Linked DNA regions of Saccharomyces cerevisiae S288C. The gene in region 1 interacts genetically with each later gene. Each region holds a gene or a part of one and is shown on either strand. Other genes may lie near its edges.

Region 1 (6,024 bases):
ATTTTCTTGTGGTTACCCCCCGCAAATTTCCAGGCATCTCATCTCATCGCAGTTAAAAAAAAAAAAGTTGTAAAAAGGTAATAAAGCGATACTTGATGAAAGCAAACATCTGTAATAACAGTTCACAAGGTTAAGCTGGTTCGTTTCACTAGCGTATCATTTTTTATTTTTCAAATAAACAAACGAGGGCGGAGTTTATTGGGTCGTCATGACAAGGCTCAAAGCAAAATATTCACCTACAAAAGGTAAAAGAAAAGAAGATAAACATACAAAACGTATGCGTAAATCATCCTTCACAAGAACGCAAAAAATGCTTGAAGTATTTAACGATAATCGCTCGCATTTTAACAAGTACGAGAGCCTCGCTATCGACGTTGAAGACGATGACACTTTCGGAAACCTAGTCTTAATGGAAAATGATAAAAGTGATGTCGACATACCTGTAATAGAAGAAGTCACATCAAGTGAAGATGAACAAAGGGCAGAATCTAGCAAAAGAAACAATTCTCTCGAAGATAATCAAGATTTTATTGCTTTTTCGGACAGCTCTGAAGATGAAACAGAACAAATAAAGGAAGATGATGATGAAAGAAGCAGTTTTCTGTTGACCGATGAACATGAAGTTTCTAAGCTTACTTCACAGCAATCTCTGAACACTGAAAGCGCTTGCAATGTGGAGTATCCTTGGATAAGAAATCATTGTCATTCGAAACAAAGGAGAATAGCAGATTGGCTAACTTCAGAAATCAAAGATTTCGTTCATTATATCTCTCCAAGCAAGAACGAAATCAAGTGCAGAAATAGAACGATCGATAAACTACGCCGGGCGGTCAAGGAACTGTGGTCGGATGCAGATTTGCATGTGTTTGGTTCTTTTGCCACCGATTTATATTTGCCGGGTTCTGACATTGACTGTGTCGTAAACAGCCGGAATCGCGATAAAGAGGACAGAAATTACATTTATGAATTGGCGAGACATTTGAAAAACAAAGGGCTAGCTATAAGAATGGAGGTTATTGTTAAAACGCGAGTGCCTATTATCAAATTCATAGAGCCCCAATCACAGTTACATATCGACGTTTCATTTGAAAGAACGAACGGGTTAGAGGCTGCAAAACTCATCAGGGAATGGCTAAGAGACTCTCCAGGGTTACGTGAACTGGTACTGATAATAAAACAATTTTTGCATTCAAGACGATTGAACAATGTGCACACAGGAGGATTGGGAGGTTTCACAGTAATCTGTTTGGTTTATTCTTTTTTAAATATGCATCCGCGAATAAAATCAAACGATATCGACGTTCTAGATAACCTGGGTGTTCTACTGATTGACTTCTTCGAACTTTACGGAAAAAATTTTGGTTATGATGACGTTGCTATAAGCATATCTGATGGTTACGCCTCTTATATTCCTAAATCGTGTTGGAGAACTTTGGAACCTTCAAGGAGTAAATTCTCGCTAGCTATTCAAGATCCTGGTGATCCTAACAATAATATAAGCAGAGGCTCCTTTAATATGAAGGATATAAAAAAGGCCTTTGCTGGTGCCTTCGAACTGTTGGTCAATAAATGCTGGGAATTGAATTCTGCTACATTCAAAGACCGCGTTGGAAAAAGTATACTCGGAAACGTGATCAAATACCGTGGGCAAAAGAGAGATTTCAACGACGAAAGAGATTTAGTGCAGAATAAAGCCATCATTGAAAACGAGCGCTACCACAAGAGGCGCACGAGGATAGTTCAAGAAGATTTATTTATAAACGACACCGAAGACTTGCCAGTAGAGGAGATCTACAAACTTGACGAACCTGCAAAGAAGAAACAGAAGGCAAAAAAGGATAAGAGAGAAGGGGAAATCAAAAAGAGTGCCATTCCATCTCCACCTCCGGATTTTGGAGTGAGCAGAAGCAAATTGAAACGCAAAGTGAAAAAAACTGATCAGGGCTCTCTCCTACACCAAAACAACCTCAGCATAGATGACTTGATGGGACTTTCTGAGAATGATCAAGAATCCGATCAAGATCAAAAAGGAAGAGATACCCCTTCGGGACAAGATGAGAAATCACCACTGGAAACTAAGACAGTAGATGCTCAAACGAGAAGGGACTACTGGCTCTCTAAAGGCCAGGCTCTTTAACACAATATAGACTCTTATAGACTATTTACTATTTATACAAGAATACCACATCGATGTCCAAGTGAAACAATAAGCTAATGATATCAAACGCGTGGGTATTTTCCCTTTCCGGAAATATAGAGCCACCAAAAAAGGATAGTTTCCCGATATGGAAATTTTCTCGAGCCGGTAAGATGACGAAATTTTTCATCTCTGGCATGATAGAAACATAGTATGGAACGTGCAGGAGAGTCTGATTCGAGACACATAATTTGAAAGAACCTTCTAGCCTGAGCCTTGTACATGTATTAGCGTTGCCAGTTATTTGCTTCTGCTGCTAATAAGATCAAAACCTTAAGTCCTTTATTTCGATCGAACGTACTGCGCTACTGAAAACCATTGCATCTTTTGCTATCATTCATTCCTGGTGGTTTCTTTGGTGTAATAAATCGAACAGTGAAACTGAAACATAAAAGAAATAGTGCAAAATATGTCTCTTTCAGCTGCAGCGAATAAGATATCTGACAACGATTTCCAAAATATCGGACCGGCACCTAGACCTCCCAGTTCAAATAGCCAGGGCCGTACTTGCTATAATCAAACGCAACCTATAACCAAACTTATGAGTCAACTGGATTTAACATCAGCGTCCCATTTAGGTACAAGTACCTCCAAAAAAAAAAGCGGGTGGGTGTCCTACAAAGATGACGGTATACTTTCATTTATATGGCAAAAGAGATACCTGATGCTACACGATTCGTATGTAGCCCTTTACAAGAACGATAAACAAAATGACGATGCGATCTTGAAGATACCACTAACTAGTATTATAAGTGTAAGCAGGACACAGTTGAAACAATATTGTTTTGAGTTGGTGCGCTGCAGTGACCGAAATTCTGTATCATCAGGATCCTCGTCCTCTTTGAATGTATCATCAGACAGTAACTCCAAAAAATCAATATACATTGCTACAAAGACAGAAAGCGATTTGCATAGTTGGTTAGACGCCATTTTTGCTAAATGTCCATTATTAAGTGGTGTATCTTCTCCAACAAACTTCACACATAAAGTTCACGTTGGTTTTGATCCAGAAACAGGTAGTTTTGTTGGTATGCCCACCAACTGGGAAAAATTATTAAAGCACTCCAGAATTACAGGAGAAGATTGGAACAATAATTCTGCGGCTGTCATTCAAGTGTTGCAGTTTTATCAAGAGTATAATGGAGCCGGAAATCCCACAAATACTTTAGACAAGCCTCAAAGTGGTGAAACTTCCTCCTCTCAAAAATCGCTGCCAAACAGCTATAATGATAACAAACTCAGAAATAATTCAGTAAATTCAAAGTCATCTTCAGGCGTTTCTTCAAGTATGGTATCACAGAGGAAAACCTCACAACCACCAAATACCAAATCGCCTGTTTCTCTAGGAAGCGGCTCACTGCCACCAATAAATACAAAATTGCCCACTAGTCAGTCAAATATTCCAAGACACTTACAAAATGTTCCCAACCAACAATATCCTAAGATGAGAAACGGACACTCCCCAACCAATGGCCAATTTCCTAGGGGACCTATGCATCCAAACAATTCTCAACGATCTTTGCAGCAGCAGCAGCAGCAGCAGCAGCAACAAAAACAACAGCATCAACAATATCCATACCACCATCAAGGACCATCTCCATCTCCATCCCCATCTCCGTCTCCATTAAACCCTTATAGGCCACATCACAATATGATAAATCCTTATTCCAAACAACCTCAATCGCCATTAAGTTCACAGTCGACCCAAAACCAAGCAATTCCACGTTATGCACAAAACTCAAGTCCTACAGCCGCACACTTTCAACCTCAAAGAACAGCTCCAAAGCCACCAATATCAGCTCCAAGGGCGCCATACCCATCAAATCAAAATGCTACTAGTAACACACATGTACAGCCTGTTGCACCTAAGAATGACCAGTCAACCCCACAAACAATGAGGCAGGCCCCAAAGAGACCGGATGCAGATGTCGCACAACCGGGTGGTGTGGCCAAACCGAAGAAGCCAGCAAGGCCTACCATGTCAACTGCAGAAATAATGAGTAAGCTGAAGAAAGTCACCGTAAATGCGGATCCATCTCAATGCTTTAAAGTGATCGAGAAGGCCGGTCAAGGTGCAAGTGGGTCCGTCTACCTTGCAGAGAGGACGCATATTCCGACAGAAAGTAATATGATCGAACTCATAAACAATGATATTGATGAGCCGCACGTAGGAGATAAAGTTGCTATCAAGCAAATGGTCTTATCTAAACAACCTCGTAAAGAACTCATAGTGAATGAAATTTTGGTTATGAAGGATTCACGTCATAAAAATATCGTCAATTTTCTCGAGGCTTATTTGAGAACAGACGATGACCTATGGGTTGTGATGGAGTTTATGGAAGGAGGTTCACTAACAGACATTATCGAGAATAGTCCCACCAACGATAATTCACATTCACCACTAACAGAACCCCAAATTGCATATATCGTACGAGAAACTTGCCAAGGCTTGAAATTTCTACACGACAAGCATATCATTCATAGGGATATTAAATCAGATAATGTCTTGCTGGACACTAGAGCTAGGGTGAAAATTACCGATTTTGGGTTTTGCGCCAGATTAACTGATAAAAGAAGCAAAAGAGCCACTATGGTTGGGACACCTTACTGGATGGCACCTGAAGTTGTCAAACAACGTGAATACGATGAAAAGATTGACGTATGGTCTTTGGGTATCATGACCATTGAAATGCTGGAGGGTGAACCACCATATTTAAATGAAGATCCACTAAAGGCGTTGTACTTAATTGCAACTAATGGTACACCAAAGCTCAAGCATCCAGAAAGTTTGTCTTTAGAAATTAAACGCTTTCTAAGCGTTTGCCTTTGCGTAGATGTTAGATATAGGGCATCAACCGAAGAGCTTTTACACCACGGTTTTTTCAATATGGCATGTGATCCAAAGGATTTGACATCACTGTTGGAGTGGAAGGAATGAAGCACACAACTATTTCTATAAGCATATCATACATACTACAATCTTATGTATTTCTTTTCTTTTAGCTATGCATACCAATGGCATAATATATAAATACGTTCACCTTAAAAGTTTTTTTTTTAAAGTAAATAAAAAAAGACCTGCAACGATACAATAATCAATCCAATGTCGTTTAATATTACTATTTATCCTACGTGATTTTTAAAAATATTCGTCCATGCTTCAGCTTCTAGTCTAGTTTCGTAAATCCAAGTGATAATTCCAAAACTTTATCTTGGAGGCCATCCATTTTATGAGATACTGGGATGGTTCTTAAAATCAACGGACTTAATGTTTGTAGGTTTTCAACTCCAATTTGTTTGTTGCCAAGGGTCGAATTTTGATCTAGAACACCTCTTAAAATCACGCATAGCCCATTTAATAGAGTAGCTAGTTCTGTTTTACGCAATTTTGGTATTGGTGCTCGCCCAATCAAGTATTCATCTGAGATATATCTTCTAAGAGCAAGGGCAATTCTTGCAGAAAGATAAGGAGCAGTTAACTTTCTTAATTTCTCGTTTGTGTTCAACATAAAATTAACCAAATCTTGCAAGCACTCTAAAGAGCACTTATATTTTGTCTGAAAGCGAGGATTTGTGGTGGATCCAAATATACATGAAAAATCGAACGAAGATAGTTTTTGAGACAATTCAGAAAACGTACCACAGTCTTGCATCAAAGCATTTTCTAATTCATCGAATTCATATAAAAATGAACAATCCCAGACGGCATAAATGAAAGTGTCTAATTGCCTTTCATTGAAGAGATCAATGATTCTGTTTTCCAGCAATATCTCCCTATATTTGGAATACTCATTCAAATCGTCTATCTCGGTTAAATTATCGAGCTC
Region 2 (8,803 bases), on another chromosome or scaffold:
TCTCCGTCCTACAGACAATGATTTTGAGAAACAAATGGGTTCGTTCGAAACTGAAGATAACAGAAGTAGCTAAACCAAGGACTCCTATCGCTGGCGCTTCCCCCACAGAGAACATGGGCATCTTCCAATCATTAAAACATAACATTCAAAAGGCAAGAGATCAGGCGGAAAGAAGGCAATTGATGCAAGATAATGAGAAGAAGTTACAAGAAAGCTTCAAGGAGAAGAGGCAGAATTCCAAAATCAAAATTGTTCACAAATCAAACTTCATTAATAACAAAAAATGAATAAAGGCTCTATATCTCTCTGTAAATATAAAAATATAAAACTCAAACCCTCGATAGGCGGGACCAAATTTTTTCTCTCTCAGCAGTGGATTGTATACATTTACCACGAAAATTGTTTATTGCTTGAAATAATCATTTGGATTCTTAATAAAATCTTGCAGGATTGTCTGAACTGCACCTAATCTGGACCCCATGCTGTTGGCTAAGTCTTCTTGGTTTATAAAACTCATGGAAAATACAATAGCCAAGTTTGATGCGTCCATTTTATTATTTACAACATGCTGATGTACTTTATTCAAATGAAATACAATTCTTTTCAAAGTTTGGTAATAGCATGTAGGTAACTTTTGGAGTAACTCATTCATCATTCTCTTGTATTCTTCATTTACCATTGCATGTGCTTTATACTTAATCGCCAAATCGGTAAAGTCGTTCACCATAGCATGAGAAAATAAAGAATCTGGTAACTCTCTTAAATACATCTTAAAACAGCCTGCGATCGCATTCACTTCAAACCATCTATCGTCCTCTAATGTAAAGGAATTATCTGTTGCACCTTCTTCGTCAAATGCGTTCTTTAGTGCATTTATACTGCCGATGGAACCAGGAATTCTGTACAATCCCACTTCATCTAGCCCACGCAGCTCAATCTCTTCCAGCAATTTCACAACAATTGTAGGTATCAAGGTATTCTCTCTTTCACAAACGTCTTCTAATGGTACCCCAAATATCTTATTATGAGTTTTACCTTTATATTTTTTCGAATGGAATGAAAATCTCTTGGAAGCCTTGATCATTTTTATCCATTCTGTGAGGTCACTAGAACTAGCCGTTTGAATCAGATATTCATGGCCATTTTGCATAACTATCTTGAACGCATAGTAGTAAGCCGGAATGTTTCTGTGATTGATTATTTCCATTATTGACTTGATTTCAAAGGTCTTCAAACTATAACTAGGTTTTAAGTCGTGTAGTTGCATGGAATCAACCTCTGGAAGTATACTTGGTAGAATGGATTTGTTACTTGAAACTTCTTGCGATAATATACTGTTGAGTGAATAATTAGAACTGGATGTGTTGAATCCACCGATTGAAAATGGTCTTCTGAAAAATCCACCTATTTTTTTACTAACACCATTATGGCTGGAATTTGACACTACTGATGATCTATTTGTGGAAAAGGAGGCCCTTGAATCTCTTCTATTCCTTGCTGAATTATTGCTTTCCATAACACTACCTAGAGAAGGCGTTTGACCGGTGTTCTTATTGATATTATAGCTATGATCGTTGTCACTATGAGTACCTGAGATAATAACAGACTTCCTATTCTTTTTCGGAACGGCCTGATGTAAAGCAGCAGAGTTCTTCAAGATCTTTTCTTGATCGAGTAAAACCTCTAATTTTCTGGCTTCCCTCTTTATTTTTTCAATTTCATTGACTAGTATTTCATTAAATACTCCCTGCTCTTGAAATCTCTCCGATATGGCTTCTGATTCTGATACTTTTTTAGTCTTCTTTCTGTATACTTTATTAACATCTTCAAAATTATTGAACAGAATGCGGCCAAATGTAGTTCTTTTCGAAGGATTTTCGTCACTCATTTCAATATCAAGTGGAAACTCCCTTTCGTTCGGAATTAAATCCAAGACATTAGATATTATGTTGTTAACAAATCTCCTTTTGTCAAAATTAATAAGTTTCGAATTAGTGATACTCATGTTAGGGACAAACTGAGATATTTCTAGTAACCTTGAAATGAACCAACCAGGGCAGGGGCATAAATTCTTGCAGTTTTTGCTGAATACATCATCAATCTCAATGAATCTCTTTATATGTATGTCATCTATCTTCTCTAAAACGTTACTAATCGATCTTAGATTTTGGGTTCCTTTAGTAGGGTCCGAAAGTTTTTCAGAAGCTTTGATCCACGAAAGTTCATAGTTTCTAGACTCTGGTGATATTATGGCATGCGCAATAGCAGTTTCAATAAAAGCTGGAATGTGTGGACAAATAGCATGAGGACTTTCATCCTCCTCTGAATCAAATAAATCCAAACTTCCGTTTTTCCAGCGGATGTAGTTCAAAATTTGTAATATAACTTTACAAGTAGTTAACCTTTCACTACTGCTTTTGTTGACGTTTGAAATTTCCATCACGAAAAACGTAGTTAGACTCGTGTGTAACTTTATTAACAATTTTATAGATTGTGGTAGTTTTTCAAAAAAAAGACTCTCCGTACCATTATCATCCTTAAGAATCAATGTAGAAATCCAAGTAAAAAGATTGGAAATTTCAAACTCGTGCAATTGCAAATATCCGGGGTTTATCAATTTGCTTGACTTAAAATGTAGCGGATAATTGAAAAAAGAGACCAGAGATTCCTTTGAAAGCAATTCCAACTCCTGGAAAAGAACTATCCAATCTTTCTTAGAAACTAAATTGAACTTCTTAGAAATAAAGTTATCTAACTGGTAGATCCATTCTAGTATATCTTCGTAATTGGTTGAGTGTAACTTTTGAAAAGATCTAATCATGTCATCGCTAAAGGAAGGATCATCAATGATGTTGTTAAGATCTGTAAAAGAGAATGTGTTAAAGGAATTCAAAATGTCAGTTATTCTCTTCTGAGTTCTATTGACACCAATAGGTCTGTATAGTTGCTTTTGGTATGCTGATTTAATACCATGAAATAGATCAGTTAACGTAGTCAACAAATTTTCTGTTTCAATCACAAAATTTTCTGGTAGGCTTTTTTGTAACTTTGAGTTTGCAATTCGCGTAGGCCATTCAGTGGATACTTCTTGTTCCATTATTTTTATAATATCCAATAGAGTAGAGTTGTTACATAAATCGTCAGTAAAGTCAGAGTAATGATTTTTCACTAAATGTAGTATAGCTTCCGCGGCGCCGATTTGGATTTTTGCCATATAAATAAGGTTTATGTTTTCATCGTCAGTTACTTTCATATCCCAAACAGGAAAATTTTGGTCGTATAATGAAGAGGACACTAAATTTGTATCCTCATTTATCTTCATTTTAGAATCATCACTGCGATCTAAAATCTTGGAAATTGACACGCTGCAACTCTTTGCACCAACATACCGTTTTGCCATATTTTCTAATACCGTAGTTGTAGTAGTAAAGCTTTTATAAGTGTTGAAGAATGTTTCTGTGAAAATATCATTGTCCATAGTTAGTTTAACGAATGCATAATCTAGTAGTCCTATGTTATCATCGGAAAGCCCTCTGGTAGAATGACCCCTTTGTCTTTGATGATAGTAATAATTCTCAAGGTCTTTAGTGTCTACCAATTTTGAAAAGATATTTGAAGTTAATACCAGTAAATCAAAAATCTTTTCTAGCGACGACGATTTCAATACGACACGAATAATCGATTCTTTTAGTGAATCTGATACTTGACCAATATTGTTGAAAAAGTCCATATTTTCTAATGTCTTACTTAGTCTTCCAGTGGTATCCAAGGAATCTCTCATCTTTTGGTTTGGAGTAGCTGGATTATTAATAAGCATGGAAGAGTGTTGTGAGAATCTCTTTGGTGTTTCTATGACCATACTAGCAGGACGGGATTTACCATCATTATCGTATACCGATTTAAATACTAACTCATCTGATATATGAAACACATCCATGTCAATATTAAAAACATCTCTCACAGATTTTAATAGTCTCTGTTTATTTGATTGTTTTGACGACATCTCTTTGATCACAGGTCCGTCAATTTTTCCAACACCTGTAACTTTATTATTATCATTTTTTGAGGACATAGCATCATCTGTTAATGAGCCCATAGTGTGACTGTTTGAAGCTATTGGAATTGGTTCACTGATTGAAAGTGATTTTGAGAGGCGCGCGGATGATCTTGGAGGCGGCAACTTCGCATCACTGGCAGCACCCACTAATGTATTCTTAGGAAATAGTGAATAATTTGGGAATAGTTCATTGAATAAAATGGGTAAATAACTTCCAGTTACTAAAGCACTCCTTTGAGAACCAATAGTAGAATACGCTTTCTGGTCGATTATTGGAGGTTCGTGTTGGACACTTAATTTCATTATTCCTTCAATGTTCAACGGAGGTTGTGATAAATGAAATTTCCAGAGCTGATAAACAACGTTATTAGGAGAATCATTATCCCTGACGTTTTCTGTCGAATTAGTTTTATGTCTCGTAGAGTCGATTGCTTGTAATCTTTGTTGCCATTTATGAAAAGCGTTTTTTGTTCTGTTAATTTTCTTTTCCAAGTACTTGAATTTCGTATCAGATGGTAAATCATCAGCATGAATTAATAAATCGCCAAAATAAGAAATCACGTTAGCTCTCGTAAAGTCGTCATCCAGATTTGGAGGAGCGAGTATGAAAACACTACTTGTAGATTTAGATGTCCTTTGTCGCCTCTCTAACTGAATAATGGTAGGAACCCAATCTTTAAAAATAGTTTTCAATGACTGATCAGGAACATATTTCCATGAAGATGACCTTAGTACAGGAATTGAACAAATGATAGTGGCGACAGCTAGCCATGATACCATGTCTCCTAAATGTTCAAATCTACAGCCAATTTGGACCCATTTATCTAATAACTCAGCTCTCACTTTTGGAGTCACTTTTTTACTAAACTCAGGATTTGTTGGAAATAAATGTGATATTAGTAGCCTTCCAAGAAAATGGATATTTTGGTCGTTGTTGAATACCAATGGATTTAACGAGACAATTCTTCGATTAATAAACTTCGAATCATACAGCAGAGAATAGTCAAATTTCGGTGCCCATACTTTATCAAACTTTAAATTGATATGATGAACTTCATCAGCCAATGTTGTAATGTCTAAAGACAGGAAATGACTTGGATCCAATATAATCTCTAATTCATGTGTAGATGATGTTGCCATTGGAAGAGATCGAGTGAATGCGGTAAGTTTCATTAATTCGTTATGTTTATTGGCGATTTTAATTTTCAAATTGTTGGAAATTTCATCGTTATGCAAAGATATAGTATCTAATAAGGAAATTATAGTCTTCAGCATTGGTTCATCCAGCAAAAATCCCGGAAATACATCAAGGATTGTTTTAGCAGTTAAAGCTAATCTTTGAGTCATGGAGTCATCGACAGCAGGGGATATGTTGTAGAATTGTGTGGAATTATTTGTCAATCTTGATTTATTCTTGGTAAAAGAAAGACCGAATTGGTTGAATACCTTTAGAAACTTAATGAAATGATCTAGTAATGGAAACATCAATAACAGATTAATAACAGCTCTATGTGTCTTAGATAATGATTTCTCATTAGGTACGTCCGATTGCTTTGGACCGGGGTAAAATAAGACTGTGTGACATAAACTTTCTATTGTGCCTGATATAATTTTACCATCACTGTCTTGTCTTAAATCTGGGTGCGGGTAAACTTCAGATAAATACTTCAGGTCCAGTGTAATAGGTTCACCCATTTGGCCAAATGATTGCTTTTGGTGCAGAGCTTCCGCTTGTGCTTGGTTGTTTGTTTGTTGTTTTTTCTGTTGATGGTTTTCATTTGCTATACTACTATTTGAAGCTGGTAAAGTTGGATCAAAAAACTTAATGTTACTATTCAAACCACTTTTGTAAAGGTTGAGAACGCAACCTTTCAATTGAGCCCTATAAAGACGGTAATCAGGTACTAGCATTTGAGGATCTATAGCCATGCTGCTTCTTGCTGAGGCCACATCATTGCCACTGTTAGTGGCCGTAGTACTACTGCTGTCATCATTTTTTAAAGACGAACCGTCGTTCCCATAAAACCTGCTTTCCCTGTTTCTAGAATACGCATCATTACGGAGATTCTGAGAGGAGGACGAAGAGGAAGAGGAAGGGGCTGTCATTGAGCTATTATAGTTTGTAGCAACAGTCTGGCCATGGGACTTATTAACCCATCCAGTCTTAAAAACAGTTGTATCATAGTTTTCAGAGTTTAAGTGGATAACATTTCTTTGCTTTTGCTCGTTATCGTTGTTATTATTGCTATTGTTATTATTAGTGCCGCTACTGTTACTGATACCTGAAGTGTTCAACGATTTCTCTAGCGTAGTTCCAGTGCTACATCGAGACTGAGGAGGTGATAAAGACGAGGAACGTGAAGGCAACAATGAGTCTTTCGAATGGGCACTCTTCTTGTACGCAATGGGAGTCTCATCCTGGGCATTGGACTTCTGGCTAGAAGAATTGCTTATTTCATCTTCGGAGCAGACAGACGGAGAATCGTCTTTTAGCGTAGAGGCTATGCTTCTAGAAGATCTGGTGTTAGTATCCGAATGATACATCCCCAAGTTCACCTGACTGGAACTAGTGGATGTGTACTGCTTGGAGGGTGGAAATACGGAGCTTTTTCTCTTATCTCTGTTGTTGTCTTCCCCTCTGTGGTGACTGTGTCCCTGGCCATGGTGATGGTGGGAATGCATGTATGGAGAAGCACCGCTTGTCGAGTTTCGAATAGTTTGAGAGGATGATGACGGCGACGACGACGATGCTGTAGACGCAGTAGTTGTCTTATGAGACGTGGAAGTTGAGCTTGAACTAGCACTGGCCGTTGAAGATTTCCTGTTCTTAGACCAGAGAAGACCTTTCATTAGACTCCTGCTTCGTTATTTGTTTTTTTTGTGTCTATCCAGAAAAGGCACGACGACCGTGTGTTCTTTTAAACTGAAACGTTTGCTTGTTTGTTCTGTTGGAAAAAATGGGACTGATCTGCAGTCTCCTAACCAAAGAGGGAAAAAAAAGAAAGAAAATTGCGTATAGCGGGAACGGGAGAATACGAAATCTGTATATTAAAAATGAAAAAGAATGTTTGAGTTAGCAGACAGTACCAGTGGCTGCAACGTAGCTTGCTTCTTTTGTTTTTGTTTTTTGTGCAACAAGAGCCGTCTGATATCTTGTGTTCTCAGGTCATTTTCAAGAGCGTGTTTCACCGAGGGGAATATGTTTCAGGATTCGCGGCGGGAAGATTTTTGCTTGCATTAAAGATTTACTTACTATACAGAATAAATAGTGGAATTGTTAAATATTATTAAATAGATAAGGGACCTGACTGAGCGCTCGCTCCCGACTAGGCCAAAGACATCTTAGCCAGCTCATATACAGCCTCTTTGGACTTGGCACCTCCAATGAAACCTGCTGCATGAATGAAGATACATCCTGGCACACCGCTCTTGGTGCTCAGCTCTTCGTCTCTGAGGCCTCTTAATGGCTCCGGCAAACCTCTCCTAAACTGGAAGGAGGTGGAGTTGATTGGTACAGTAGATACCCTCCAGGCACCAGAAGAGTCTGTGAAGAGAACAAACTCGATTTGCTTTTCAATGTTCTTCTCTCTTTCCAGCTCGTATAGATGCTCCTTCCATGGACAGAATTGGGGCAAGACAATGATTTTGCCACTCTTATCAACATCCATTCTTTCATCAATGGCTTGCGCCACAAGGGCCTTGGCTGGCAACCACGATTGACCGTAGCCTCTTACCAATGTGACAAAGACCCCACCGATAAACTCACTTGCGCGAGCAAAGCATCTGTCAAAAGACTCATCGGAAGTGTCTTCGTTCCAGTTAGGATTCATACCTGAAATAATCCCGGGAATGCTGATGGCGTTATCCCTGAAATTCGGTTCCAAGTTGGAATCCTTAGGAATCGTGTACTTGCTAATACCGTTGTCGTTTGCATCCAGTGCCTCGACAAATTGTTTGTATACCTTGTCATAGAGCAGATCTAAATCAGAGCTGCTAACCTTGTTGTTCAAAATTGTTTTGATAATGTCACGACCGTAGTGTTTGAAGATCAGACCAGCACTTGAGAGCTTAGTCTTGTATTTCTCGTTGAAAGTTTCGAAAAATCCACGCTGGTGGTGGTCAAAAAATTTCACGCCGTCATACTGAGCTCCTACATCCACTAGAATGTCACTAGCCTCCCAGTCCTTGGGATTTCTTGATCTAACCAACTTAGCATCTTTAAATTCGGGTAGTAGCCTTAACATGTATACCGCCAACGACTCGTCCGCGTGAAAAGATCCGGAATGCGTGCATATTTGTTTGGACATTTTTGAATTTAGCTTTACTCTTTTTACGCTATTCATGCAGACTTTTTGGGCTGGGCTCTTCAATTCCACAGCTTTTCGATAGTATTAACACATCATTACTTTCTACGTTGACAGAAAATTTTCGTGATTTGCCGTTCCCATCGCTCGAAAAGAAAGTGAAAAACTGAAAAAAATAATAGAGATTTATCAATGAATACAGTAATCCAAAGACGAGAGAAGAGCAGGAAAATTCGTACTTATATTGCAACTTAATGGTGGGCTCAGATTTTTCGATGCTCTGCCTCGTAACTCTAAGTATCAGCTGCGGATGGATCATAAGTAGTATTAATATAGAATATAGAGGCGCAAATTGAGGTTACCCTGTATAACGGCAGTCGTTGCGTCCATTGTTATGTAAAGTCTTGGCTTTATAGACACACAATAAATACTCCCAGCATGA
Region 3 (8,901 bases), on another chromosome or scaffold:
CAATGACTAAGGAATAATCCATCACATTCATTTTGGCCAAAAATAATGTGTCGTTCCAAACAGAAGCTCTTAAAAGTTTCTTGTCATATTCGCGAACATGAATAGGTGATTCGTAAATATACTCTACCATATTTTCATCCAACAACACTTCATTAGCTTTACCTGTTTGTTCGACATGTCTATTTCTCATGGAACCCTTCAAATCAAATATTCTTGTTGTTTTCTTCTCATAAAATAAGTTCTCCATAATGATAACGTCCATTTTATAACTTTTGGAACTTGAAATAGAGCTTTTTACTTGAATTTGATAAAACCCAAATACTTTAGCCAAAGTCGTGGGCAAATCATGGAACATTGCTTGTGCCATGTATTCAAAATAACTTGGTGCAAATTTTATGAAGGCTTCCAGTTCTGCGTGTGACAGCTCCTTTATAATAAATCTATCATCCAAAGTCTTTAAAAACCCGCTCCCACTTTTCCCCCCATTGGAATCCCATTTAACACATCTTGACAAACTTTGAATGAAGTTTTCTTGACAATCACAAATCTTTCTAAACACGTCAAAATGTTCTGTGAAGAAAATTTTACATGACATTACCGTTAAACCCTCCTCAAATTGATATCTCAAGTGTGTGGCTGTTTTTTTTGTCATAATTTTCTCTAATTCTTGAAGAGTATCTAAATTTGCTTGGGAATGCGTTTGTGATTCTTGTGGGGTCCTATCTCGGGCGCCTTCAATGGGAGGGGTGTTCAACAAGCCCTCTTTGGTGGTTACTAAGGATGAAATTTCTGAGTCCCTCCCCTTATTATGAGAAGTTGTAGAAACTGAGGGAGAAATGTTAACAGAAGGATCCCCGGTTTGCGTAGTTCCTCCACTGTTTCCTCCTGTTTTGGCAGGAGCAGCTTCTGCTGTTTGCTGCTGCTGTTGTTGCTGGACATTCAAGTTCATCATTTTATTTCTATAGTCAGAAGTACTTAAGCAAAATGCGATCAAGGAACTTGGTTCATCTTCGCGGATTATAACGTCACTATCAGTAAAAATGTGTTCCGAAGGACAGGTTGGATAAACAAGGGGTTTCCACAAATACGCAGATCGATCTGCCCAAAAGTTGCTCAAGGTTTTCATCAATAATGATTTTTCAGGTTGTGGAGTGGATTCTACCTTATTGACAGTTGTTGTTGTTATTACAGGTGGAAGCGGCTCCGACTTTGAATTATCTGATTCTCTAACTATTGACTTTGGATTTTCTGAAGTTTCCTTTACTACTGGCTTAGAATTTAAATGAGTACTTGCGGTGGTCTTTCCAGAGGGGTTCAAAATGTTTTCTCCCCATTGGCTAATGGAATTTTCTAATTCAGTTTCCAAGTTTTGATCTAAATTAGGAGGATTACAATTATTGGCCCGGGAATGTTCTCCCACAGGTGCCTCCAAAGTCTTAACATTCGCAGATGACAAATTATTGCCTGAACTTCTAGAGTGAAGCGGTTCATCAACTGCGTCTTTGACATTTTTATAAATTTCCACAATTGGTGTGGATGTTTGTAATCGTATGGCTTGGTATTTATCCTTATTAAGTTGTAATCTTTCCCTTTCACGTTCCAGTTCAAATTCTTTCGACAGGGCATCAAAATGCATTTGATCGAAAAATGTAGCTAGCTTACTCACCTTATTATTTTTACTATATTCATTAGCAAGTGATGCTAGTCCACATAAACTACTATCACTACTCATTTTTCTTATGTTAGGTCTAGTGCTTTTATCATGAGTCATAGATATACCTGTTCCACTTCTGCTTATTGGCGGACGTTCTTCGGTTTGAGGGGTCAAAGAAGAAGAAACCGACGATGCAGAAGGTGTAACTGTCAAGTGACTAGTACCACTTGTTGGAATAATTGGAGTGTCGTCTTTAAAAGTGGTTATCGTCACGGCATTCTGTGGTTCGTTCGTTCTGTCACGATTCTCTGTCGTATTCTTGCTATCAATTTTCGGCTTTTCGACATCTTTCAATCCCTCTAACGGTAATTCGTTCTTTTCTGGTTTCCTCGTCTTCGCCTTTTCATCATGAAGTGATTTTTTGTCTTCGCTGTCTTTTCTTGAAGAATCGTAAAACAGTTTTTTCAGCTGCTTGGCCGTGATACGACTAATATCAGTTTCAGAAGGCAAATAGCTTTTTGCAAATATCGCAAATGTAGAGTTCCAATTTACAGCCTTATCGTATAGAGATTTGATAACCAGGTTCAATGGTAAATGTTGATCGCAAGGACTATCTGCGTAAAAAGTATCCAGGTCTTGCAACATTAATTTTTGCTCCTCTGTAGCATTGCTCTTCAATTCGATAATTTTAGCTTGTCCACTAAGAACTTTATCTTTAGTCATACTATCCAATTTAATACGTTCCAACCGACTTAGGACACTCCCATAGAAATTATTGATCTTTTCCAGAATCTTATAGTATAGTTCCACCTTCAGTTTGATGTCGATATGAGGTTTCCATTTTATTTTGCGTGGTGGGGTTATCAATTCATGAACTTCTAAATCAGAATATTCTAGTCGAACCACTAAATCATTGTAACCAAAGTATTTGACATGATCTTTAGTGAAATCATGAGGACATTTCCCAATTCCTGTCACGCTATCTTTGTAACTCCAAAACATGACTTCTAAATATTTACCGAAAGAATGATTCCAGGTTTTTTCGCTAATTTGTAAAATCGGAGTAGATGTCCCACATTTTTTACAATAACTCCACGTGAGGATAATATCTTTTAATTTTGGTAATCTAGTTTGGAATTTTTCGATTAAAACGTCTACTTTTCCTGACCCATGAACATAGCTTCTATAATGATCCAAATACAGACCATTACAGCCTTGTTGGCAGGGATACCTGGCAGTTCCCACGACGTTCTCGATAAACTGACCAATGGAAATATCACTGTCCCAAAAATAGTCAATAGTAACAATTTGAGGGCCAACGCAAGGTGTGGCAGTCTTTGTTGAAACCATTGAGTAGAGAACTGTTATAGACTGGTGTGAGCCCGTACCAAGTAAGTTCTGTGATGATGAATATGAAACCTCCCATTGACGACTTCTCTTCTGAAACTCAAGCTCTAAATTTTCAATTTCCATTTCATGCAGGAATTTTATTAAATTTCCTAAGTGTTTCTTAGTGATAGTCGATTCTAAGCCTTGAAGCATATTTAGTTGCGTTTGCCGATCTAAATCAGATTCGCTTTCATATTGATTGATCCTTTCTATGAGCTTCTTTTCCAAGCCTCTGGCTTTTTCCAATAAAAAGGGAATGGGGAAATCTACCGTTGGTGATACAGTCAAAATCCTGTTATTGAATTTGATCAAGAAATCTGCAAAATAACCTTCGAAAACTTGCAGTTTTTTGGATTCAGCTCTCTTCAAATAAACATCTGTAGAAAGTTGTATGAAATTATCGTTAAAAAATGAACTTTCCAACTTCAATGAAAAAATTGCGTAGACCATAAATTCAGAGACTTGTTTGATTTTTCTCAAGTTTTCAAGACTATCACCTCTTAACAAAATTGTTCCACCAAGTTCTGGGTTACAGCCCCGAAGAAATGTATATGTTTTACTGATGTTTCCATAAATGTAGCTTTTAACTTCAAAAGTTTCACATTCACCCATCTTAATATTCGTAGCCAACTTATCCACAGAAATGGCAATATCTGCTTCTGTTAGCTTGGCAATTCTTTCAATGACTTGTGGTTTCATATTAAACTGTACGACAATGCCTGAGTCATTTAATAGTTCTAACGCGTACCCACTAACATTGGCGCCGACGTATATAATATCAGGATGTAATGACTTTAATCTCGAAACAAGTTTATCCAAATATTCGCGCTCTTGCCTAAAGACGGACTCTATACTTAGAAAGTGGTTATTGTTCTTTTGGTACTCCAGTGGAAACATGATTAATAGTATCCTTGGGTTTTTCAAATGCCGTGGCATTGTTTTCGACGGCAATGCTTTCGAAAAGACAACCCCGTCGATATATTCTGAATTTTGAGGAGATCCACCACTAATTCTTTTTATCTTAACGTAAGTTTGTCTAAAATCTAATGTGTTCAAATCCCTCGCGTTCAGGATGGTCCTTAAAACTTTACGCAAAGCGCCATCTAGAAGGGTTATCCATTCTTGAAGATTGGAAATTTCTTGATCATTCAATAATTGTTTTAATAGGGCATGCATATGTAAAAGAGAGACTTCATTTAATTCTCTCTTTTTTTCCTTTTTCAGTTTGAATCCCGATATACTAGCGATTCTCTTCCAAGGATCGGTGTTGATATTGCTATTACTATTGCTATTATTATTGCTGCCACTGCTATTGCTGAATTTTCTGTCAGTGAGTCTGCTTGCAGCGGATGAAGAGGCCTTGTCTTGCAAAGGAGAAGAATCGTCGTATAGATTATCGTCGCTTACTACAGAAAGTAAATTGGGAGTACTATTGGTCAAGAAATTTAAGTCTCTATAAATGGAACTTTTCGAATTGTTGGGAAAATGCTTGCTTTTACTTTTCCTTCTAAACCTCATCCGCTGTAGTGAAGCTTGCGCTCGTTGAAAAGATTTTGTGGAGTTCCTCATTGATCTAATTGGATTGTCAGTTTTATGGTCATCATTCAATACAGAATATATGGACATGGAACCTTCGTCCTCAGAAGAGTCTTCCTCGTTTAGAGGATATTCTAGGTAAGCGGACGTAGATTTAGATTTTGTCAGTGGGTTTCTTTTCTTCTTATCTAGAGTGAACGTCGTGCCATTGTCGTTTGAGGGAATGTTATTGTTGTCAGCAATACCGCTGGCACTGTTATTATTATTATTATTATTATTATTATTATTATTATTATTATTATCATTATTTCCATTTGCCGTGTCATTTTGTTGCGAAGGACCTTTGGAATTGTAGTTGAATTTAAACTTGTAATTTCTATGAGCATAATTCCCGATAATACGATTGGCAGGATCCAGTATGGAAGAAGACTGTGCAGACGAAGCGGGTGTTGCAGAGCTATTGTTACTGTCCTTGTTAACACTATTGCTGCTTACATAATGGAAAATAGACCTTCTTAAGGAATGCGCAGGATTATTGATGTTGCTGTTGCTATTGGTATTGTTATAGTTGCTGTTGTTGGAAGTAGTGTTGTTGAGGTTGTTGATGGTAATAGTGCTGTTATTGGTGTTATAATGTGGCCTCAAAGTGGAATTAGAGTTGGTATCGTAATGTGATATATTGTCCATATCTCTGATAGTGTACCTTGTGGGCACGGAATCGAGGTGATGATGGCGACCGGGGTTGTCATCTTGATAATGCAAAGCCCTATCGTTTTCCGAATCGAATGAGATTTCCAGCGATCCGCCTTGCTTTGTTGCTGGGATGGCCATCTTCGGTGGTGGTGGGGGTGTAGAAATGAACAATTTAGAATCTTCACCTGAGGTCATTATACTTTGTACGTCATCGTCATTTAATAGGTAGACCTCATTCTGCTGTTGAGGGTTATCCGTTGCTGCTACTGGATCATGGAGATCGGTACCGTTATGGTTGTCCTGTGAAATGAGATGCAAATGCGAATGTGAATGAGAATATGGATTGGTATTGGAAGAACGAGAGCGAGAGCGAGACCTTGGCTCATTCAATTGCATTGTAGAATCATTCTCTTCATCACTGGAGTCCTCGTATGTGTCTGCATGCTCATAACAATTGTAACATACTCGCATCTTGGCATGACAGCCGAATCGATCACCATCTATCAAGAGAGTGCAACTGCTGCAAAAAATTTGGCCGCATATCCTGCAGTGGTGTTTCCTTCTGAAAGTGTTAAACGTTTTACCACAACTGAAACATTCTTTAGAACTCTCGTCCTTCATCCAATATTCCTTTGAGAGGACACCATTGTTACTGGTCTTGTCCTTCTTGCGGTTGTTATAAAATGCGAACAGGAAACTCTTGGACAGGGATGCGGTCAACGAAGAAGAGGCACTCTTTATCGAAGACACTTCATCGCCAACGTCGTCATGATCGCTGTCAGGAGTGCGCGCATAGGAATTCTGCATGGAAATTGGCCGATTGTTCCTAATGGGGATAGCAGTAACAGTGGATTTGGAGGCATATATGCTAGATCGTTTAAAGTTGGAGTCGTTCTTAATGGGCAGCTGCAGCGAGTGAGAAGGCTTATAGCGACTCGGATATCTCTTGATGGTGCTAGAGGGTATCCTCCCACTAGTTGTTGGCGGCAAATTTTTCTTATTCACGCTGGTACTAGTGTTAGCATTAGCTTTAATGTTCGAATGCGACGCAGTGCCGGTCACGTGACTTGTTGATGTCGCTGTTGCTATCGAGGATGATGTGGGGGGGCTTATTTTTGGCACGGAGATATTGCTCAGAATTGGGTTTGTCACTAGATCCGTCGTAGTCGACGTCGTAGATGTCGACATAATGTGCAGGGACGGTTTCTTAATATAGTTCGGTCTGGATAAGGTAGCATCGATTGTGTTCACAGATGAAGTACCAGTGGAGGACGACCGGACATGTGAGCCATCTGGAAAGGATATAGATGCATGGGGTTCTTCCGATGACATGCTGTGTGACGGTCTTGCATGTACAGGATGGAAGCTACCTTGCTATTCGAAATAGTTTTTTGTTTGGCCCTTTATTTACTTTCCATATGGTTTTCGCGTTCGTCAAGAAGTACATTGCGTTTGCGTTGCCTTCGAGGCGAGACGAAGGAAGGAACATAAGAATATAAGAAGCAAAGGAATAAGACGGCTTGTGATACATTTCATGGGAAGAAGAGGGGGAGAGGGAGAGTTAGAGAGAGTCAACAGAAAAGAAATAAAAAGACTGAAAAGGTCGTAAGCATGGGAATGAAGTACGTATTGCCTTTGCGACTAATTGGTCTAGCGTACCTGTTGGTGCTATTTCAGGTGCATAGGGTAACTGGGTGGGAGTTGTCATATGAGCAGTACCATGCAGCGCATCTGAACGAAGCTATCAACCCAGACAGCGGTTGGAACAAAAGTACCAAGAACCTGCTGTTGCCTTTTAACAGAACGCGCGTACCCGGATCGGAAGGCTCGCGCGAGATCCAGCGCTTCATCATCGAGCACTTCAACAATACGCTGGCGGGAGAATGGGCCGTTGAGACGCAAGCCTTTGAGGAGAACGGTTACCGCTTCAATAACCTTGTTATGACATTACAAAACAATGCGAGCGAGTACTTAGTGCTCGCTGCTCATTATGATACCAAGATAGCGCCCACGGGGATGGTGGGCGCTATCGACAGTGCCGCCTCGTGTGCCGCGCTGCTATATACGGCCCAGTTCCTAACGCACATCGCGTGCCACGAGCGCACGAAAGAGTACAATGACTTAGAGTCGAACACTGTAGTATCGAATTCTACCTTGGGTGTAAAGATCGTATTCTTTGATGGAGAGGAGGCCATTGAAGAGTGGGGCCCCGAGGACTCGATTTATGGAGCACGCCGATTAGCCGCCCAATGGCTTGCTGACGGCACGATGACAAGAATTCGCCTATTATTTCTTCTGGATCTTTTAGGAAGTGGCGAAGAGGAGCCGCTAGTGCCCAGCTACTATGCAGAGACACATCAAGAATATCAGCTGCTCAATCGAATAGAGGATGACTTGTTATTTCGACGTGGAGATGAAATCAACGGCGAATCGGCATTAGCCGCCGAAGTCGCGCGTCAACGCAAACATCTGGACCCCACGGACTATCGATTTTTAGGGCTCGGGCATTCGGTCATCGGAGACGACCACACGCCATTCCTGGCCGCCGGAGTACCCGTATTACATGCAATCCCGCTACCATTCCCAAGTACATGGCACACCGTGGATGATGACTTCCGGCACTTAGACGCCGCGGAGACTCGTCACTGGGCGCTGCTTGTGTGCGAATTTGTAGTACAGTCACTACGCTCCCGTAACCAGTGATAAATCCCCTGTTTCCTTTCGTTAACATCTCCCCCTGATCTGGGGGATGTGGGGTGGAATGAGTGGCCCGGTCAATGTCAGTGCACCACTCTGAAAAGCTTGCACACATACATATACATATATATATATATATATGTAGGTATAGTAAAGGTTTGCCTGAGTAATTTTTGCGCGAGAGATCTACTATCAGCAGCGATGAGAGCAGCTACATAACACATAGTAAATCACACATCTACGCAACACACACACACACGCATACACTCACCCTCATGACAGATCCCCACTTGAACACGCCCCAAGTGAGCACGTCACCCACATTTGAAAGATCACAGGACTTCCTCAACATCGACGAACCGCCCTGTGCACAGGAAACACCTAGTGTTTCTACATTCAACCTCCCGGGTCCAAGCGCTCCCGCTCAAAGCGTAGACAAGCCAGTCCCCATGATTAGACGGCGGTCTACCAATTATATGGACGCACTAAATTCCAGGGAACAAGCCCGGGAACGCGAAAGCAGTATCGGGGAGCACGCCCCGGGAGCCGAACGTAGGAGTAGCGGACCCATGGATTTCCAGAATACTATCCACAATATGCAATACAGGACCACTAACGACTCTGACCTGAGCCACGCTGGCGTGGATATGGGTGACTCCATCTCCCATACACCGATCTGTTCTCGTGCTGGCAACAGACCCATTTTCAAAAACTCGTACCTTGACAACAACAGCAATGGTAACAGCGCAAGAGTCCCACACGGCTCTCCTCCACAGTTGGGCACGCGTAGAAAGTCGTCTTTTAAGTACGAGGACTTTAAGAAGGACATCTATAACCAGCTTCACATGTTTGGAGAGAAGTAAAGCCTCCCTAGTGTCGTCCACACCTACCCACTCATACATATGTACGTAACGTCAATCTCTTTAGCTTCT
Region 4 (8,093 bases), on another chromosome or scaffold:
GAAGCGATCTCTCCATCTCTAAAGCTGCTAAATTACCTGTCTTTAGGGGTATCTCCCAAGCCTAAGAATAATAAACATAAGAACGAAACCTCCTTGAGCAGAATGACAACAGCTACTGATTCCACATTGAAATCTAACACATTCAAAATAAAAAAGATGGTTCATATCTGGTCTAAAAGCGTTGACGATGTGGATACCAATTTAAGTGTTATAGATGAAAAATTGACCCCGTTTGAGGGAGTCGGTGCATTGAGGGCCATTCATTTACGATTGCTCACTGAACGGACAACTGATCTGCTGCAATCATCTTCTCTATATAATGATGATCCCCACTTTACCGCAAATACAGATTCACTATTACAAATTTTTGATATATTTTCAAACCTGAGCAAAATACCATTTTCAAGTGAAGTCATATTTTCTACAATGCGTGAAAAGGCAGCTAATATAGCGACGATGAAAATGGATTCCACAGATCTGATCTTATTGCCATTAAAAGGGGCCTCGTATGAGTATAGAGGGAGCCCAGTCTTCATTGATGAAAAATACGCAAACTTTGATCACATTTATTCTCATCTCCTAGGTCTGAATGAACTATCATCTACTTTCTTCAAGTCTATTTTCCAGTCACTCAAGGCAAATTTTGCCGTTCAAATTTCAAATACCTATGGCAGATTAAATGCTGATCGCTTTAAGAGGAAACGGTTCAATTTATTACTTCCAAAACCATACCTGACACAATCCGATTATCTTGGACTATATCTTCTCTTATTGATATGCTATAGAGATGGCTATAATAATGATAATGCATCCTGTAGTATATTTATTAACAGCAAGAATATTGATTTCGCAAAAGATTTGTCAACTGCATTTGCTGAGCATGACTGGCTAAACGAATCTACCATTAAAATTGTGGATATCCCCTTTGAAACGAAAGTTCCAGAAGAAGCAATTGAAAAGCCGTCCTTTATAGAGACTGTGCTTGATGTTGGTTTATCAGATACTGCTTTAGCTGATATAGAGGAGACTACCTTTATTATTGGAGAGGACCTTCCTGATGAAAGTGAGCCCTTCAGCGAAGAGGTGAGGACTGTAATATTTGAAGGGTCGAATCGTCGTTTTGACACCCTTATTGTGCACCATTTTTCGTCTGAATAAGTATCAGCAGAAATTTTTTAATTTTCTTTGTTCTTAATTTTCAGTCATTCCGTCATTCCGTCATCTATGTTTATTGTTCTATATTATTACGTATGCATAAATATCTTAAGTATAGATCGATCCTAATAGCTATTCAGTTTTATTCTCCTGAGAGGTTATCCTTAATTTTGAAGAGTTTAACTTATCATTTGACTTTATAAACTTCGCGAGTCTGGTAGATTTGAAATTGAATGTTTCATTTACTTCACTAAAAGGATGAGAAAGAAGCTCGTTAGCGGTTGGCCTTTTCTCTGGATTTATCTCGAAGCATGCGTCCAGAAAATTTCGTCCGATTTGCGATATCAATGGTAAAGTGTCCTCAGGAATTGGTGGTGCCGATTTTGACTTTCCAATTTTGAACATGGCTGCGACGACTTCTAAGTTGGACCACGGGCGCTTACCAGCAAACATTTCCAGAACGATGCATCCCAGAGACCATATATCAACTTTTGCACTGTAGCCTTGCTTTGTATCAACCATTTCAGGAGCCATCCAGAAGACTGTTCCTCGCATGGTCATATCCGAATTAGAGTATATGTCCTTTGATTTTCTTGAAATTCCGAAGTCACTGATTTTGCAGATACCATCTTGATCCAAAAGTAAGTTGTCTGCCTTCATATCCCTGTGGAGAATACCTTTCGAGTGTAGGTATGCCAATCCTTTTAATACTTGTGTTGTTAAATGTTTGATCAACGGTTCATCGAATCTTCCATACATTCTAATCAAGGATCCCACGGAGCCACCAGCAACATATTCTAAAAACAAACTGTAAATATTGTTTTTATTCTCAAAACCTAAGTATTGAACAATATTAAGATGATCTAAATCTTTTAACGTGGACACTTCAGATCTTAATGCTTCCACGGTACTTAGAATGGCTTCATTTTGTGAGCTATACTTGGGGACCTCAACCTGCTTAACGGCCATCATCTCACCTGTAGTAACGTTTAAACATAAATAAACAGCACCGAAAGATCCCTTCCCTATCATTTCACCCTTCATCCAGGCGAATTCCTTATACTCACCTTTCGAATTTTTGGCTTTATTAATTGACACCATATGGTTTTCGGTCACTTCGACCATTCTTGTACCCCACATTTTGGTGTTCTGTCTTTTTAGTTTTACAGAGTTTTTTCTTGCTAAACTAGCTTCATGTGCAATGGTTCTTATGGTTTTTGTTCTTTTAGGTGTCTTAGCTTGATTCAATGGTTTATTTTTACCGTTAAGTCCATCCTGTATGAACTCGTATGAGCTATCAGGAGGGACGGGACGGGAAGGAGTGCTTGGCTCAGTTCTCGATGAAGCCACATTCTTTGGTGAAAGTAGGCTGTCTAAGGATTTCGGAGATGTTGGTGAAGCTATTCCTTCAGTGATTGGCTTATCTAAGTTAGCCCTTGGGAAGAATTTCTCTAAATTTTGATAAACGACCTCCGGAGATGGTCTAAAGGTCATCTTTCTCTCCATTTTGTCCTGCGTTTGAGAATCATAGAATATTTCGTCAGAATGCGTAGAACTGTTATCGCTTTTCTCATCCTTTTTGTTTTCATTATTAGTCTCAGGAGCTGTTTTTTTCTTGGACCAGATAATGTCATCGGATGAACTAGAATCGTCATCACTATCATCGCTGTCAAACATCGGCGGAGCATCCGCGAATGTTATGTCATTCTCTTCAAATATATCGGCCGCAGATGTCGACGAAACAACTCTTTTTGAGTTACCTCTTTTTAACAATGGTGAAGGAGAATAGAAAATTGAATTTGAAGTCGATACAGTTGAATTTGAGCGATTCACTTTCTGTTTCATTTTCAAAGATGGGGAAGTACTCGTCGAGTCCTGGTCTGTTTTCAACCTACGCATAACATCGTTTGCACCCTTATAAGGTTGCGGTATCAAAACATGAGTCGAAGCAGGAGTATATGAGGAAGTAAGCGAATCAGGAGACGAGCTGCTAGCTTCTATAGGAGATGATAATAATTGTGGCGGCAATGGTTTCGATCTTTTGCTTCTCGAAATTTTTGTACTTGCCCTCACTAGGCGGATCGGTTTATTCTGTTTAGAAGTTGATAAGGTCCTCTGAGGAGAAGTATTTGCGGGAGGCTTGGGAGCTTCTCTTTTTGGTGCCAGTTCTGGTTTTGTATAAGGCGATTCCCTACGATGATTGAAATCAATTTCAGTCCCCTCATCTTTTCTTAGCACTTGAAAACTACTCTTGCTTTCATTTTCTGTTATGGGGGTAGGAATATTTAATTTACTTCCTTTATCTGGTAGGTTGAGTTCTAATTTTGGACTTGTTTTAAAAACCATTTTTGGTGCATTTTCCTCATGAGAAAGAACTTCTTTAATATTCCAATAATTCAATTCTTCAGTTGGATTAGTATTGGAAACTCTGTCATAGTAATAACTCGGGGTTTGGGGGTACCTGCGCCCACTTCCTGATGCATGTTCATCAAATGATGTTATGTCAGAAGACGAAGTGACAATGGAAACATCATCTGTCGATGCTATCAGACTGCTTGTTCCGGACCTCATTGAACTCTTACTTTTCACCGATTTTAAAGGAACATTGTTTTCTGAGGTGAGAGGAGCAGGTTTCGGTTTTTGTTGAAGCTTCATTTGGTCTTTGATATAAATTTTTCCAGAAGTGTTCAAAAACAAGCTTTTTTTCAAAAATTCCAAAGTATCATCTGGAATTGCAGCACCAATATCGCAATCAAAGTCTGTCATATGGAAAGTGACATTTTTGTGATTGATTCCCAATTTTGTGAGAGCAGATTCTTTGAAACTGGATAATTTTGCTACACTTTTTAAGTTTAGCGGAACAAAACTAACATTATCTTTGGTAACCAGAATATATTTATTCTCACTATCATTTAACCCTGTTTTCTTCAGAGGATAAAATTTTTGGTCCAGTAAAAAGTTCTTTACACTATACTTTTGATTATTTACCGGCACTGGAACTGTCTTGTCTGGATTAATACAATCAGGATACGTTTCTTTAAAAGACGCCGTGGTTGAAGAAATTTTAGGTGTATCTTCTGTGCTGATGACCTCCAAACTTCTGTTTGCAGTTTTGGGTATTGGCGGTGGTGATGAAGATGGAGATGGTATATTTACATCTGCCGTTTGTACGGTTAAGGTAGCAGTACTCGAATTCGATTTTAAGGATGGAGTTTCTTGAGACGTTACATAAGCTACCGTATTTGGGCTAGGAACCCCTATTTGGCTCTTTCTTTTGAATTTATTCCATAAATTACCTTTATCATCCGAAGTGGGTAGTGAAGATTGTTTTAAAGGTGAAGACACATTAGTTTCATAGTGTTTAGATTTTCCTTTAGCTAAATTTTCACTAGACAGACTATGACCTTGTGGATTAGGCTTTGTTGGAGCTTCCTCGCCTATTCCACTACCAAAAAGGGAATTTAATAATGACGACTCAGATGAACTACTTTTGTGATGTCTTCTAAATATGCTAGGATACGAAGGAGATGCAGGTGGGCTCGCCGATTTGGTAAGTGTACTGTTAGATTCAATAATTGAGTGCGGCCGAGCCGGTATACTTAACTTGATGTTTGAAGGTGATTTTGCTGAGGAAGCATTGCTCGATGATGAGCCTCTTAGGGATATAAAACTTCTTCTGTATAGTGAACTTGCGCTTTTGGTTTTTTGGTGTGTTGAAGTAGAATGTAAAAAATTCTTTTCATCGGTCTTGGAAGGGCCCGATTTTGTTGGGCTCAATGCAGATTCTGACGTTGATCTAGAATTTGAAATATCCTCTTGCGATTTACTATTTTTTAATTTTGATTTGATCGATTCGCTGGAAGACCTGGAACTTTTAAGTTTGCTAGCGCTCTTCTGACGAATATGGCTATTTGTTACGTTCTTGGTCATTGTTTTTTTCAATAACTGCTGAAACCTGGTATATGAAGCAGTTTTAGTCTGCGGCAAATACTTTTCATAAACAGCGAAATTATCATATGCAAGCAACTTTATAAATCTGTGACCAAACAATTGATGCTTTTTGAAAAACAATATCCAGGATTCTGGAAAATCATGAAATTTAAACCATGAGGTGACGCGATGCATTGTCCATTCATCAGGGTCTGTAGGATCCCACGATAGAATTAGCTTGTCAAAGGACAAACTATTTACGCTATTGCCACCGGAGGATTTCCTCGAATCAGAGAGGCTACTAGGTCCATTGTCATTTTTATAAGAACTGTTTGTAAAGCTCGTTGGGTTTTCAAGCGTTCCAGCTGAGATGTGGTCATCTGTCGTCCAATTAAAGGATTGTTCGATAACTGGCGTGCTTTCGTAAAACTGAGAAGAGGTAGAGTTGGGGGTTAGGTTGGGAAATTGGCTTCTAATATCATCATAAATGCTTTTGCGAGATGTTGCACGAGGGCTTTTGCTTGAACTTTTGGTTGATGCTACCGAACTAGTCGGCTGATGGCCGAATTTCACAGATGAGTTCGAATCAGACCTAGAATGTGTATGTGCTGTCCCCGCTATTTTCCTCAAAAAGGGCATTTGGAGGTGGAGTTGAACTATTTTAATACTATATTTAGTGTTTCGTACTAATGGTCACCCCTCTGCCCTTGTTTTTTTATTTTTTTTTTTGGTGAATCCATTACCTGATTTTATTATTATGCTTACTTTTAATTAACTTGTTGAAATTTCATAGCATTATAACTTAGAAGACGCGTCGGTCTGGAATTGAATGGCCATTGGGGCCGAAGAAAGTGTGTCAAATTTTATTGTTATTTACATGATTTTATACGTATGCGTATATGTACATATCCCTAAAATTCAGTTCATACTCAGTTCTGATATTCTTAAGATTGTCAAATCACCTTTACTCTTTGCATGACGGACCCGTCTATTTCTTCTCTTCGTTACCTCCCTAGTTTGGAAAGCCCTTTTAGTTTTCCCAACAACGGTTGCTTTTAAAGTATACAGAGAAGTATTGATTGGATGACCAACTAGCTTGTAGTTTCTAGATCCTAAAGTTGTTACATCGGTCATGTTTAAAATGTCACCCACCTCCGCTTGCTTCAATTTGAATGGAAGAATAACTCTGTCGCCCTCGGTCACCAAATATGGACGATTATGAATCTTGAATATTGCATATAGTTCATTTGATAATTTTAGTGGAGTTGTATCTGTCTTAGTAGTCTTAGCTTTTGTACTACTGATGCTTGAGGAAGTAGCTAAATTTCTGAATGGATGACTGGTAAATGGCCTATAAATAGGTGTGATTCTGGCCACTGGCCATATGAATTTCAGTTGTAGCATGAAAATTAGAGCAACACACTTAAGATTGTCTCGGCACAGTTGTTTCAGTAGGCTGTGAAGGTCGACTCCGAGTGAGCTTCGACATCTTTCTAAGAGTTCTCTAATTCGGCTACCCTTCGCAATTTTGCTCAATATAAAGCCCGTGCACCGCAAGATACTAGTGATTATGGTTAAGAGCGTTGAAGCCATTTCAATGTGAAGGCTAATATTCTTATAAAAAATACAGAAGAATTTATCTAAAGAATTCAAATTAGTTTCTTCCCGAAAGAGGATCTTAAACTTTTCATGACTTTCTTTCTCTGTGCTACCATGTGTAGGAAGAGCATTGGGAAGCCTGGGATATAAGCGAGCATGGCCGCTATTAAAATTCTTTTGTAAAGTAAAGAATACTGAGATTCAGCTGCATTTAAAGCACAGTAAATAATGCGTAGTTCGCTGGCAACACCAGTGGGGTACAAAATCCAGAACAAATTATATCTTAATAGAATTAAGATCTTTGGTGCGCCATTCTTGAATACCAACATGAAAAAATAATACAAGTATCTGACGATCTCAGTTATAGACCATGCCAGTAATAATGATATGTAAACAACTGATTGAACACCACTTGTGTTTGGCAACAATTGGAAGATGCCGAGGACAACTAGTAGTCTTGAAGACACTTGTGCAACAGTGGTCAGCAATGGGGAACGTACAACTCCTAAAAATGAGTTTATGATCTCGATTATAGCACCACATTGAACAAGGGTAGCGACATTTTTAGTTTGGTAGAAGAATGCTGGCTGTCCAACTTTTGGGTACAAGGAGATGACCAAGTAAAGCAAATAAGACCAACCAACAGCAGAAAGCAAATTATAAAGGGGTAAGAAGGACAATGGTGACGCAAGTTTTTTTGACATATTGTAGAAATTGCTTGGAGTTGTGCTTCTTCTTGTGTGATGATGAGTTATTTTGTATTTTGGATGCTCTTGATGGACCAATTCTGAGTTCGAATAAATTCAACAGAATTTCGAAAAAAAGTACACGAAAAAGAAAACGCCTTTTTCCTTTTTGAATACTAAACAATCGAAGTAAGTTATCAAACGGGCAAAGTCGCAATAAGGCACTAGACAGCATATGTAGTCCAAACGATTGTGAGTTAGGAAATACATGTGTTATTGTATAATTATTATTCTTATTATTATTGTTATTAATATTAGAATTATTAGAATTATTTAATTAGTATTATTTCCTAGTCCCTGTAATGCTCTGAATTAAATTTTACAACGCCCATTAATCGCGCCTGTTCTTCTTCATCCCATGATATCTTGTCCTTACTTTTGGATCTACACAATGCATATGCGGCGGAATCAGCATAATCCAAACTGTCTTCGTCTTCACAGTTATCATACTCTTCATCACTGTCATCGCTCAGTTCATCGTATTCATCTATGTCGTAGTCATGGCCTTCCGCGCTTAATATTTCGTCTTTATGACCTCCAAATTCATCGGTGGGGCTATGAAGTTCAAACTGGTGTTGAAACATAGGTGAATTCATGCCATTTTTTGATGGAGAAGCACGCTTGGGTATAGAATTAGAAGGTGATGACTCCCAGCCGTCACTA

Evidence for each region.
Region 2: mutations in CLA4 (region 1) and BEM2 together harm fitness more than expected from each alone (negative genetic interaction), as found in Saccharomyces cerevisiae (5 studies listed by BioGRID, with this or other methods).
Region 3: mutations in CLA4 (region 1) and FAB1 together harm fitness more than expected from each alone (negative genetic interaction), as found in Saccharomyces cerevisiae (5 studies listed by BioGRID, with this or other methods).
Region 4: mutations in CLA4 (region 1) and BCK1 together harm fitness more than expected from each alone (negative genetic interaction), as found in Saccharomyces cerevisiae (9 studies listed by BioGRID, with this or other methods).

The regions. Positions count from the first base shown.
Region 1 is NC_001146.8:66,309-72,332, forward strand, and holds CLA4 (serine/threonine protein kinase CLA4), read left to right. Parts: upstream 1-2,606; coding exon 2,607-5,135; downstream 5,136-6,024. Other genes in the region: non-canonical poly(A) polymerase TRF5, read left to right, coding at 209-2,137; MON2 (Mon2p), read right to left, coding at 5,365-6,024. UniProt on the Saccharomyces cerevisiae protein: Involved in budding and cytokinesis.
Region 2 is NC_001137.3:475,942-484,744, forward strand, and holds BEM2 (GTPase-activating protein BEM2), read right to left. Parts: upstream 6,908-8,803; coding exon 404-6,907; downstream 1-403. Other genes in the region: membrane insertase OXA1, read left to right, coding at 1-287; MYG1 (Myg1p), read right to left, coding at 7,384-8,400. UniProt on the Saccharomyces cerevisiae protein: GTPase-activating protein (GAP) for RHO1 and RHO2. Involved in the control of cellular morphogenesis. Required for proper bud site selection and bud emergence.
Region 3 is NC_001138.5:182,205-191,105, reverse strand, and holds the start of FAB1 (1-phosphatidylinositol-3-phosphate 5-kinase), read right to left. Parts: upstream 6,605-8,901; coding exon 1-6,604. Other genes in the region: YFR018C (uncharacterized protein), read left to right, coding at 6,884-7,975; IGD1 (Igd1p), read left to right, coding at 8,245-8,832. UniProt on the Saccharomyces cerevisiae protein: The PI(3,5)P2 regulatory complex regulates both the synthesis and turnover of phosphatidylinositol 3,5-bisphosphate (PtdIns(3,5)P2).
Region 4 is NC_001142.9:244,886-252,978, reverse strand, and holds BCK1 (mitogen-activated protein kinase kinase kinase BCK1), read right to left. Parts: upstream 5,725-8,093; coding exon 1,288-5,724; downstream 1-1,287. Other genes in the region: KHA1 (Kha1p), read left to right, coding at 1-1,158; mitochondrial 54S ribosomal protein bL21m MRPL49, read right to left, coding at 6,004-6,489; enoyl-CoA hydratase PHS1, read right to left, coding at 6,735-7,388; SAP185 (Sap185p), read right to left, coding at 7,721-8,093. UniProt on the Saccharomyces cerevisiae protein: Serine/threonine protein kinase involved in a signal transduction pathway that plays a role in yeast cell morphogenesis and cell growth. This pathway seems to start by SMP3; then involve the kinase PKC1 that may act on this kinase.